Linked DNA regions of Rattus norvegicus. The protein of the gene in region 1 interacts with the protein of each later gene in a biochemical or structural test. Links are inferred from orthologs where the notes say so. Each region holds a gene or a part of one and is shown in the gene's direction. Other genes may lie near its edges. The genes, in order: Stam, Usp8 and Arrb1.

Evidence for each region.
Region 2: the proteins of Stam (region 1) and Usp8 form a complex in vitro, tested with the Homo sapiens proteins (2 studies listed by BioGRID). The link is inferred for Rattus norvegicus from reciprocal best matches to the Homo sapiens genes STAM and USP8.
Region 3: the proteins of Stam (region 1) and Arrb1 form a complex in vitro, tested with the Homo sapiens proteins (2 studies listed by BioGRID). The link is inferred for Rattus norvegicus from reciprocal best matches to the Homo sapiens genes STAM and ARRB1.

What each region holds. Positions count from the first base shown.
Region 1 is NC_086035.1:82,070,193-82,073,840, forward strand, and holds part of Stam (signal transducing adapter molecule 1), read left to right. Parts: intron 1-3,037; coding exon 3,038-3,290; 3' UTR 3,291-3,648. UniProt on the Homo sapiens protein: Involved in intracellular signal transduction mediated by cytokines and growth factors. Upon IL-2 and GM-CSL stimulation, it plays a role in signaling leading to DNA synthesis and MYC induction. May also play a role in T-cell development.
Region 2 is NC_086021.1:134,453,385-134,457,032, forward strand, and holds part of Usp8 (ubiquitin carboxyl-terminal hydrolase 8), read left to right. Parts: intron 1-1,611; coding exon 1,612-1,824; intron 1,825-2,596; coding exon of another isoform or gene 2,597-2,759; exon of another isoform or gene 2,760-2,796; intron 2,797-2,802; coding exon 2,803-3,013; intron 3,014-3,648. UniProt on the Homo sapiens protein: Hydrolase that can remove conjugated ubiquitin from proteins and therefore plays an important regulatory role at the level of protein turnover by preventing degradation. Converts both 'Lys-48' an 'Lys-63'-linked ubiquitin chains.
Region 3 is NC_086019.1:163,248,741-163,253,151, forward strand, and holds the start of Arrb1 (beta-arrestin-1), read left to right. Parts: upstream 1-1,475; 5' UTR 1,476-1,507; coding exon 1,508-1,527; intron 1,528-4,411. UniProt on the Homo sapiens protein: Functions in regulating agonist-mediated G-protein coupled receptor (GPCR) signaling by mediating both receptor desensitization and resensitization processes.

The sequences.
Region 1 (3,648 bases):
TGGCTGCACAGTTTTTTTTGTCCTTATAAATGAGTTTATCCAATTACTGCAGTTCTCATCAACTCAGATTGGTCCATTCATTCTTCGGTCCTCCTCACCAGTGTCTCTGTGGTGTTTCTTTCTGATCCTATCATCTACTTTAACCCCTCAGTAACTGTACTAATGGCGTACAAAAATATCTACCCTTTTCCCCTGACTTGGGAAGTACTTACCGATGTCAGTTCCTCCCTTCTCTTAGTGAGACCTTTCTTGACTAGCCCATGTCAAATAGAAAAGCTCATAGTCTAAAGAAGCTGCTTTTGTCCATGTCCACCCCCCAGCCTCACATTTTCACAGTGCTAGGATCAAGCCTAGAACCTTGTATATGAAGCCAGTGTTCTACCGCCATTTTATATCTCATTTCTCATTAAATCCTTAAACATCTGTTCATCAAACCAAATCAGTGATAATAGATCTGTAAGTTATGGTGGCTTCATCCTTTCTCTCTTCTCAAAATACTGTCCCCACGGTAGGTAGCTTAGAACATTACCTGAGTACTGGCTCTTGAGTGAGCGCCTTCCGTATGTCCTGGGGACAGATGTCTGCAAAGTGCTTACTTCTAGAATTAAAGCTGTGTGAAGAGGAAGAGAAAACAGCCTCTCATGCATTCCCTGTTGCTTCTTTACTCCAGAGGTGTCAGCCCTAAAACCATGCGCAAACAAAGAACAAAAGCGCACTCTTGAGTAGGTTGTATTTATGTGTTTGTGCCCACACACACATGTATATAACAATAGTCAGAGAAAAGGAAGCTATCAACTTGAGAGAGAGGTCCGTAGGAGGGGTTGGTGGGAGGAAAGAGGGACAGAGATATAATTTTATTTTAATTAAAGTGTATAAAAATTTTTAAAAAGACAAAAAGGAAATAACCTTCCAGGGCTGGGACAACCTGCCAGTGAATTGGTGAAAATCTGCATGGCCTTGAATTACAGCCGAAAGCTCAGATACATAGCACTCCTGACTCACACCAGGCCTTGGTTTTCCTTCGTTTTCCTTTCCAGATCCTCCATTTCCTCTGCCAGCACTTGCCTTATTTCTTCTCCTGAGCAGACACTTGTTTTTATACATGTACAAATATATATCAATTCTCAGATTACCTCGGAGTCTCTGATACGCCTTCAAGGGATTGAAAGCCGTCGCCTCACCTCTGTCCTAATGTAGACTTTGGAATTGTGGGCACTGGCGCTTTCTCATTAGTCACTGAGCTCCTGCTGTAAGTCATGTCCTAAGAGATGGCTGTAAAAAGGGGACAGAAACTCCGTCCTGGCTCTTGAAACTGCTGTAGTTTTATAGGCATAGACACAGGAAGGGAGCCACCCAAGGAAACTGGTAGGAGCACACGTCGAATCTGCTGGTACCAGGAGCAATAGAGACGGACAGCAGGGGTGTCCTAGAGAAAATGACGTCGCGCCAAGAACTAACTAGAGAACAGAGAGGAGACCAGCCAAGAAGGCCAGACATTTAAGGACACACCTCACAGAACGTATGGAAGGGACAGGTGTTCCTTAGAGGTGACGTCAGTGCTCCACTGCATGTCAGGCTGGGCACATTAGACACCGGCGCCAACCAGAACAGTTAGTTACAGTTCCAGGTAGGGGTAGGTGTGGCCAGGGTGGGGGTGTGTAGGATGTCCTTAGCCTAAACCTTTAGGGAGATAACAAAGGCAGCCATGCTTTCATTCACTAGTCCATTGAGATGATTCTGTCAGGATGTGCCGACGTCCAGACCCTCTGCTCAAACCCCAGGCCCACCTCTCTTACAGTGAGTCTCTTTCCTGTTCGTTTTTGGTGCGTGTTCCTGGGTCAGGCCCTTGTTAGGCTGGGTCAGGCTTTCTTTTCTGGTTACTGCTCCTCACGTGCCATTGTCGGGTACACCTTTATGTTCCTGACGTCAGAGAGTGGAGGACTCGCATGCACTGCTCTGCTCGCTCTCTTCAGTCACTTTCTGAGGACTTCATTCAGCCCCGTGTTTCTGAATGAGGACTCTTAGTGTCTATTTCCACTCCTCTCTCCCCTGGGACACCAGGTTGCATGTGTTTTCTTACGTGTCTTTTGGACATCTCACTTGAGGTGTCCAAAACTGTTGGTTCTGCCTGCCCATGCCTCTCTTGTTCCAGTCAGCTGTAGTCCCAAGTGTAGTTTTCTTCTTTTAGTAAGTGGTCATTCCAGTTATTTTTATCAGTTACAAAACCAGGCATACTAAACTACTTGGTCCATTATCAAATTTCAATGGCTCTTTTTTCAAAGTAGGGTGTGACCCTTCTCTCCTGTCTCCACTATGGCTCTGGGCACTTGCCAGCTCTCACATCTGTTCCTGTTCCCATGTGAGCCTGTCAAAAATATAAGTCCTATCTCATTACCTCTCTCCTCAGACACCACCCAGTGCTTGTTTCACTTGACTCACATGCATAACCCTGTGGCTTCTAAGGAACTTGTTGGACCTTCTGTAGCCCTCCTAACAGCTCCTTTATCTCTTATACCACATGTGCTTTCTCGGCACGTTGTATGAATGCCTTGGCCTCCTTTTTGTTCTTTGAACATGGCATTACAAAACCTCAAAGGCTTCTTTTTTTTTTTTTTTTTTTTGTAGCCTACTGTGTGCCTTTCCTAGACTGTTGATGGAGTTCCTCTGCTTTCTCAAGACCTTCCCTTGCATGAAGCCTTGTCTGAAAGGCCTCCCTCTAACACCCTACATAAGCGAGAATCTGGTTACCAGACTTCTGGTATTTGCCGATCCCTGTTTTTCTTTACTGAGATTTTAAGCATTGGCATCCTTTAAATTTATTAGCTATCTTTTTTTTCTCCCACCAGAATGTAAGCTCTGTAATGATAGCTACTCATTTTCTTTCTTGATAGCATCCCAGTGCTTAAATAACAGTGTTTGATACTTTGCACTTATTTAATAAATTGTCAGATGAACTGTTTAATAATTTTCCTGTTCATCTCTGAATTGGATGCATAATTCATTATTTAGCTAATCCAGTGTTTTCCTCCCTCCACAGTGCAATGGTTAGTTCTGTTCAAGGAAATTCGTATCCCAGCCAGGCTTCAATATACAGTCCTGCTGCTGCTGCTGCCGCTGTCGCTGTCACTGCAGTGCCTGTGCCTGCTGATGTCACCATCTACCAGAATCCAGGACCTAACATGTCCCAGGTGCCAAACTATACCTTAACGTCATCGACCCTGCCTCACACAGGAGGCAGCCAACAGCCACCTCAGCCACAGCAAGCATATTCTCAGAAGGCTCTGCTATAGGACTTGATGCTGCTCTGGGTGGCCTATTTCTGCTGAGTGCCACTGACAGTGTTAGGAAATTCATTAACATCCTAAGATTTGTTTTCCTCAGCTTGTGAGAGTCTATCTTGGTCAAGTTCAAATACTCAAGAAGGTAGAACTGCTTCAGTTTGCACTGACTTTTTAGAGGAATGCTCCTCCCCCGAGGAATGAAACTACTTACAACATTTATTTCCTTTCATGATATGAAGAATTGTTACAAGATTATTGTCTTGTAAAATTACCTGGTCTGCAGCACTCAAATGATCAGAAACTGCTGTGGCAAATGTTATGTACATATATTGACATGTAACTTCCTTAGCGACCTTTGAATTACAGT
Region 2 (3,648 bases), on another chromosome or scaffold:
AATTCAAGTGGCCTTGGCCTCTGGGCTGGGGTCAGAAATATTGGGGTGGGGGGACTTACAGAAGTACTAAATACGAATAGGTGTTTGTCCTTGCCGTTGTTTTTAACACAGTACGACAGCTATTTACATCGTATCAGGAATTAATAATCAGAAGTGGTTTAAAGGAAACAGGAAGGGGTACACAAGTTAACACAGACACTGTAGCATTTTATCTCAGGCATGGAATATCCTTACTGCAGGGGCCTTGGATATTGGAGTTTGGAGTATATATAAATAACTGATGGGGTGTTCTTTTCATGTATTATATATCATTTGTTAATTACTAAGGGTTTTCAATTTATCTTTTCTAGCACATCCCAAGGAAGTAATCGGTCCCCTCCCTAAGAATTCACCTTACGAGGGAGAGACCTATTTGAAAGAGTTTTTGGAATTAGTACAGTTCAGATATTAGAAATCCTTATAATGTTATTAACGCTCATTAATTAGGCAGGGTTTTGAAGCTGTCTCATTAACAGCTTATGTATCTTCTGTAAAAGATACATGAACAGAGAAAGAGCACGTAGAGAAAACTGGGATGTGTGCTGTTTTTTATATTCCCCTCCAGAGGTAGGGAACACTTAGTGGGGATCAGGAAGAGAGTGTTCACTGGTTCACTGGTCAGGGAACCTTTAGCCCAGACGTGCCCAGCAGATGCCTCCATGCTGTCCCCCATGACTTTAAATTTTAGTTCATTTAAATGTGGCCATCCTCTGAGACCTGGTGGAATATTACAGGCATAGTTAGGTAGTAGTACCCAGATAACCTTTGCCTCATTTGAGACCCATTCTATGGTTAGTATATTCTTTTATTTATGTATATTTTATTTGCAAGGGTATAAATATCTGGTTCTTTATTTTTTTTAATATTTAATACCTACTACAGTATAAATGCTGTGCATATATAGTGTTGAGGAAATGTTACAAGAAAAATCTCTGTACACACCCCACCCCACTCCAAACTCCCAGCCCCGCTCCCTTCTGCCTCTAGGAATCTATCCATGTCTCATGTTCTTTCCCTCCCTCTCCCCCCTCATTTTTTTATTTTTTTATTTTTTTTTCCTGATAGATGGGTTTCTTTCTACTCAACCTAATGCCACTTAAATACACTATTTGATATTTAGCAGCTGAGATCTACATATGAGAGAACACTACATATTACCCTTTTAGAGTCAATGTATAATTTATAATTATACATGATTTTATCATATTTAATTCTCTAACATTCTGGTTGAGTTAGAGTATTTCATGATGCTAATGTCTCTGGGCCACTTGGAGAAGTTTGAAAGAGGCTTTTCCCATTGGGCAGTAGCTGAGTCTGTGGAAGCTAGAGGACCTGTCTCAGGCCACCTCTAGAGCCAAGACCTCATAGGAGAGGTGGTAGGCATGCGTTTCATGGGAGGATCCTGGGTCACAGTCAGTTAACCTAGTTGCTAAATGTCTTAGAGAACACAGCAGTTTAGCCTGTGGATTGTGGACAAGATTTGATGTGGTACAGCTGCTCCAGCTGTCTGCATCTTCAGTGTGCACTCAGCGTGAGATGCTCTGCATAAGGCATCTTGTTCTTCTTCCTTAGGCCGCCGTGTTACCCTAAAGCTGAGATCTCGAGGCTTTCTGCTTCTCAGATTCGGAACCTCAATCCCGTTTTTGGAGGATCTGGACCAGCTCTTACTGGACTTCGTAATTTGGGAAATACTTGTTACATGAACTCAATATTACAGTGCCTGTGCAATGCTCCACATTTGGCTGATTATTTCAACCGAAACTGCTACCAGGACGATATCAACAGGTAAGGGGACTTAGCCCTGCTGCAGTACACCAGTGCGAAGGATGTTTAGTCTTACTCTTGTTGTAGCATGCGAGATAGGTAATCACTTTTGTTTTATATAAAAGAATTTTGATTTTTAAAAATGTGTGTATCTTAAGTGTGGCTCTGTACAAACTAGAGCAGACACGTGAAGGTCAGAGGGCAGCTTGCAGGAGTTAGTGCTCCAGTGTGGACTCCAGGATTATGTCGTGTTGTCAGCTCGAATGGCGAACACTTTACCTGCTGAGCTTCTTTTCCATAGTTGTAGAGATTGAGTGTTCATTGGGTCCTTTTCAGCAGACCCAACCCCAAAGCCTTGCAAGGCATGGCCTCGTCAGGTCCTTTTCAGTTTGGTTTTTTCATTGTGTCTTTAGGAGTATGTACATATGTGAGGATAGCAGCTTGAGGGCTCCAGAGAGAGTATCAGATCCCCAGAGCTGGAGTTATGGACAATCGTGAGCCACCATCTGGGTGCCAGGAATCAAACTTGGGTATTCTCCAAGAGAAACAATTCCTCCTAACTAACACGGAGCCATCTCTTCAGCCCCTTAAGGGCTTGTTCCTAGTCTATGTGCAATACCCAAATTTTGAAGGGACGTATTCAGTTGTTACTCAGCTTCAGAGGAGGGGAATTAGCAAAAGAGAACTTATCTTCATCTGTCAGAATACGGGGTAGTTACCCCACTTCTGGTCATAAGGACAAAGAAAATGGCAGACACACTGTCAGGGTTACAGCTTCCGTCTTTGACTGCAGCCTGTTGATGTGCGTGAGGAGCAGGGTTTGCAACCAGGATAAGAAAATGAGTTGGAGGACCACAGCAAAGTCAGGTTCAGATGTGTTTGGTTCAAGCCTGCAGGTGAGTGATTCCTTTGTGTGTTGTGTGTGGTTTTGTGCTGACATCAAGACCCCACTATAACTTAAGTTTTGTTCCTTTATTTTCCGTAACTTTACTCGCACAGGTCAAATTTGTTGGGGCATAAAGGTGAAGTGGCAGAAGAATTTGGTATAATCATGAAGGCACTGTGGACAGGACAGTATAGATACATCAGTCCAAAAGACTTTAAAGTCACCATTGGTAAGATTAATGACCAGTTTGCAGGATCCAGCCAGCAAGATTCACAAGAGCTGCTGCTTTTCCTCATGGATGGCCTCCACGAGGATCTAAATAAGGTAAGAGTGGGGTCTCCGCAGCTTCACTCACTTCTGTCTTCACAGCAGTTTACATGCCTGCTCACCAGTGTTCCTTACTCAGATACAGTGACTGTAGTAAGTGTGGCCTGTGCCGTGCGCGCGCGCGCGTGTGTGTGTGTGTGTGTGTGTGTGTGTTCTGTGTGCTGGTCCTGTGTGCAAATGTGTGTACTGTGTGGAATCTGCTGAGCTCCCCAGAATAAAATTGAATGTTTACATTTATTTAATAGAATGAGACATGTTGGGACTGGAATCTTAGACTCAACATAAAATTATTTTTATTTTCCATATATACATGTCCTGAAGTGAATTTTTACAGTATTTTTGAATACCTATTTTTTAATGATTTTTTTTTTCTCATGGAGTACAATTTTCCACTTGTGGCAGCATGCCATGTTTGAGACTCTCAGATTAGGAATGTGCACCATGGATTTGAAAAGTAGTGTGGTTATTCACTCAAGTACTAATAAGAAGTATTACACAGTTAACAGATAGTAAAATAGCTATTGGAGGTGCTCTTGTGACTCTGCTTATGAAAGCCAAGTCATGGTTTTATTAAGTATAGTCTAACATCTTTGTTTGTTTATTATCTATAAGTACACTGTACAGACACACCA
Region 3 (4,411 bases), on another chromosome or scaffold:
GACCACCCTGCCTATCCATTAGCCTCTACCCACCCCTCCCCAATCTGGACATAATTATAGTCGTTATCCTGGGATATTATTACCAACTCTATAAACAGCACACTCTATGTAAACAGCATAGGTAACTCTTCTGAACATAATTACAGGAGATGTTTCCAGACCCGCAATTGCATCAGAGTAAATGATAGCTTCCTTTCCTATCGTTAATACTCCGATATTAGGGACCTATCAGTGCCAATTAGTCAAACCCCAGCAGCAAGCGGCTGAGAAAGACCTTACATTCTCCCACTTCCTGCAAAGCAAGAAGGAACCCCTTAAGATCCCTTCCAGGAGAAAATGGATTAAAATCCAGAACCCTTTCCTACCCCTCCTTAGCCTCTGGACTCCACCCTCCCACTGCACACCTGCTACTTCCACAGGGGTAGGAAACTTGGGGAAAGTCAAGATTTCAAGGATAGCAAGAAAGCTGCAGACAGTAAGCTCTGCTGGACACCACTGTGTGCAGGTGCCTGCCGGCAAGAACAAGTGAATTCCTTCACCTATAGAACAGGGCATCTGCTGGTCTTAGGACCCAGCCAGTAGATCTGGAATGGGCTGAGATGGCTGATGTCTAGAGTCATTGCAGGCAAGTAAACTAGGCCTGGGTGCTAGCAATGATGCTGGATGCTCCGGTCACCAGCTAGTTGGCTCTTGGTCCCTGCTTTATCTTCTGTTCTCACAGCTTCCTCTTTCTGCCTGCCCCTCCCCTCCTCTTTCCACTCTCATCTGCTCTCCAGCATTGCAGTCCGCTGCCCGCCCCCACCCCTTCTTCCTGTCCCCGCTGTGCCGTTGGGTGGTATCTCTCCAGAAGGGCGGGGGCGGGGAGGGTGGAGCAAAGGGCGAAGGCCTGGCTAGGCTTTTGGAATCTTTTGCTGTGTTCACACACAGGGGCGCCGCTGAGGCTGGGCCTTGGAGTCTGCGGATTTTCCGCTTGCATCTATCCGCAGACACAAAGGCCAGTCCTGGCTTGCGCGGGAGAGCGCGCTTGCACCCACGATTGTGAGCACACACGCACAACTGCACAAAGACGTGCTATCTCTGCACACACACACACACACACACATACACACACACACAATCTCTCTCTCTACCCCTCCCCCCTTCTCCCGACAGGCTCGCGCGCACAGCCGTGCACACGCACCAGCACTGGCACGCGCTTGCGTGCACGCACTCTCGTGGACCAGCCGCGGCCGGCCACCCAGCCCTCACTCTCTGGGCGCGCACACGCAGAGCGGCGCACGGAGCCACACACGCGCGCTCACACCCGCACGCTCCACGCCCCTGGCGGCGGCCGGGGCGCTGTGCTGCTCGAGCGACGGGCGGGGACCCGGGCGGGGGCGGCGGCGGCGACAGCGGAGGAGGCGGAGCGGGGTAGCCGGGAGCGGGCTGGCCCGCGCTTCTCCTGGCGGCCGGGGATTTTCCAGCCTGGACGCTGACGCCGCGGACCTCCCTGCGGCCGCCGCGGACCATGGGCGACAAAGGGACACGGTGAGTGCGGGTGGCCGCCCTGTCCCGCGTGCGCGTGGGGACGACCTGGGCGAGGGCACGGGCGGAGGTTCCAATCAGCGTCACCCGGGATCTGGCACTCTGTTGTCCGCCCAAGTCTCTTGTGTGGTCTCTGGCCAGAACCATGTGTAAGGACGGAGGCACCCAGGATGGGCCACCCCACTTGGTTCAAGGCTCCTGGCCGAGACGAGCTCACACAACCAGCCCTGGCTGGTCGGTAGACTCGAGGACGTTCTGGGGCAGGCTGACACACGACACACACACTCATAAACACATGAACACCCTTCTGCTGGCACACACTGACAGTCGCTGCCACACTTCGCATTTGTGACACGACAACGTCACACGCGGTCTCTCACGCACACACTAGTCTGCCAACACATTCCTGCTGTCAGTACTGTTAGCATACACAGGTCCCACTGGAACACGCACCAGCTCTAACACACCTCGTGTTGCCACGCACATCTGGGCATACACCAACATACGTATCCTGTCACCTGGATGCTGCAAAGCACGGTCTGGCTAGTGCTTGCAGTCTGTCAACCCTCTCTGAAATGACACGATGCAGCCACAGGTCTTAGTGACACATCAAGGCCAATCACGCACATGCACAGCAGAAAATGCCTGCAGGGCCTGACATCTCTAGGGCAGTGGATACACTTCACTTCTGACTCCCCATGGCCAGACCAGAAACACAGGTCAGAGTGGGAGACTTTGAGACCTGGAAGGCAGGTCCCATTCACATGCTTTCCTTCCCCTCTGACCTCCAAAGCACATAGCTAGGGGCTACATCTAGCTGGGGATGGTGGTGGTGAGGGAAACTGTTTTTGTAGATCCTGCCTTGAAAGGAAAGGTTAGGCCCTCGAAATGGAAACTAGGTCAAAGTAGGAAGGCTAGGGAGGGGCAGGGAAGCTCTTGGGGTCAATCCTTATGACCTAGACCAGCCCTAGTCAACTTAGAGTTTACCTTCCTGGCCCTTGAGAGTCTCCTTGCCGCCCTTCCTGGCCCCTCCTCTAGTCTTCCTGCACCTGCTTTTTATCACTGCTTTCCTTATTACTCTTATGTTTGTGTTCTTCTCTCTGCCTTCACTTCCTTTCCTCTGATATTTATTTATTAAGCCCCTGTTGTATACTAGGCATAGCCTCGGTGATGAGAGATGATCAGAAAGGAAGCATCCCTGCAGTCACATGTTGGGGCCCTTAAACAAACTGGTTTTTTGCCCACTGACCCCAGAGCCTTTCAGCAGTGAGTGAAAGGGGCTACAGAGGTTATTCCCATTTCCCAGGAGTAGAAATTGAGGCATAGTGCTAACTCAGATTCCTCATGTTTAGAAACTACCTCCCACCAGCCTCCCTATTGATGGCCCTTCCTGGAGGTTAATTTTCCTATTCTGGTTTCCCCAAAGAGGAACTGAAGGGTGAGAAAGGTCACTTGCCTTGCTGAAGGTCAGGAAGGGGCAGAGGCCACAGCCCACTGTATCTTGTGGCTCTCCTTGGGGCCCTGGGTGTAAAGACTAGCAAGGGACTCACTTGGTGCAGAGGCACAGCTTTGGGAGACTGCGGACAGCCATGAGGTGTTTGCATTCACCTTGAGGGCCAATGCAGCTGGCTGGTCAGCATCGTGACCCAGGCTTCAGTCCTTGGAGGAAAGATGCTTGGATGCATCTCTCTTCAGCCACACCCATCCCCCTCCCCGCTTTGAGACTCTCTGGAACTGTAAGGTTGAGCTTTGCTCCCTGTGAGGCACGGCAGGGAGTCAGCAGCCACTGACTTCTCCTTTGTTCTCCAGTGCTGCTGGTGACCAGGGTGACTCAGCCATGCTGGGCCTCTCTGTAACTAGGGGAGAAGTGTCACAGATTCCTGATACCTTGAATTGTCATAGGAGGAGGACACTCTGGCTGCCAGACACCTGTTGGAGAATCCTGAGGCCACAGCTTTGTCCTTGACTCCCCTGCTGTGCTTCTAACTCAAGGGCAGACCCAGTATTCCCATCTGTACATTGGAGCCATTAGAACTTTGGTTTTCATGGCTCCCAAAAGCTTACTGAGCTCACTGGACATAGGAGTAGGAGTTGCCTATGCCAGGAAATACAGACTAGCTACACAAACTCCACCTGTCCGTGTTTGCCTCCCCTCCCTGGGCCCCTCTAGAGCCATGAATTCTGCCTTTCTCTTTCTAGATCTGTCTGGATATGAAAGGTAAGAAGCTTTCTCCATTGTGTTACATTGGCCATGAGATTTTGCTTTGAGACCTGGAAGGGACATTGCAAATACTCAATACTCTTAGGCTCTGGAGTCATCACATCTATTCCTGTCGGTTGGAGGAAGTGATAATGAACGTTAATCAAAACTGTCACTGCCCTTGCAGAAACCCCTGGGTTGAGAGGAGGCCCAGGGCAGAGCAAGCTAGCACCAACAGGGGTCCAATGAGCACAGGTCATGAAAGAGTGGCTTCTTTGTAGCCTGGGGCAGGAGTTCCCAGAGCTGAATCCCCAGACTATCCATTCCCAGGTGATGGTGGTACACGACACAATCACTTTGGGAGGTGGAAGAGGCATCCACACCAGAGCTGAGCTGGATGTGACCCGAAACTGTTCTGGGTAGTCAAAGCAGCTGAGATTGACCTAGAAGCTTGAGGAGGCTGAGCAGTGGAACTGCAACCAGTGCCCTGCCAGCCCAGGGTGCAGAATGTACAAGGACCGGGAGGTGGGAAGAGAAGCCTGGGGGTGGGGCCTGCGAGAGGAACACAGGCCAGTCATCCCCAGCCCTGGGAAGGTCAGGCTAAGGCAACAGGATTTTTCTTCCATTGCCAGGATCAGCTGGGAGAAGAGGGTGGAGAATGGAGGACAAGAACAAGTCTTCCTCTCA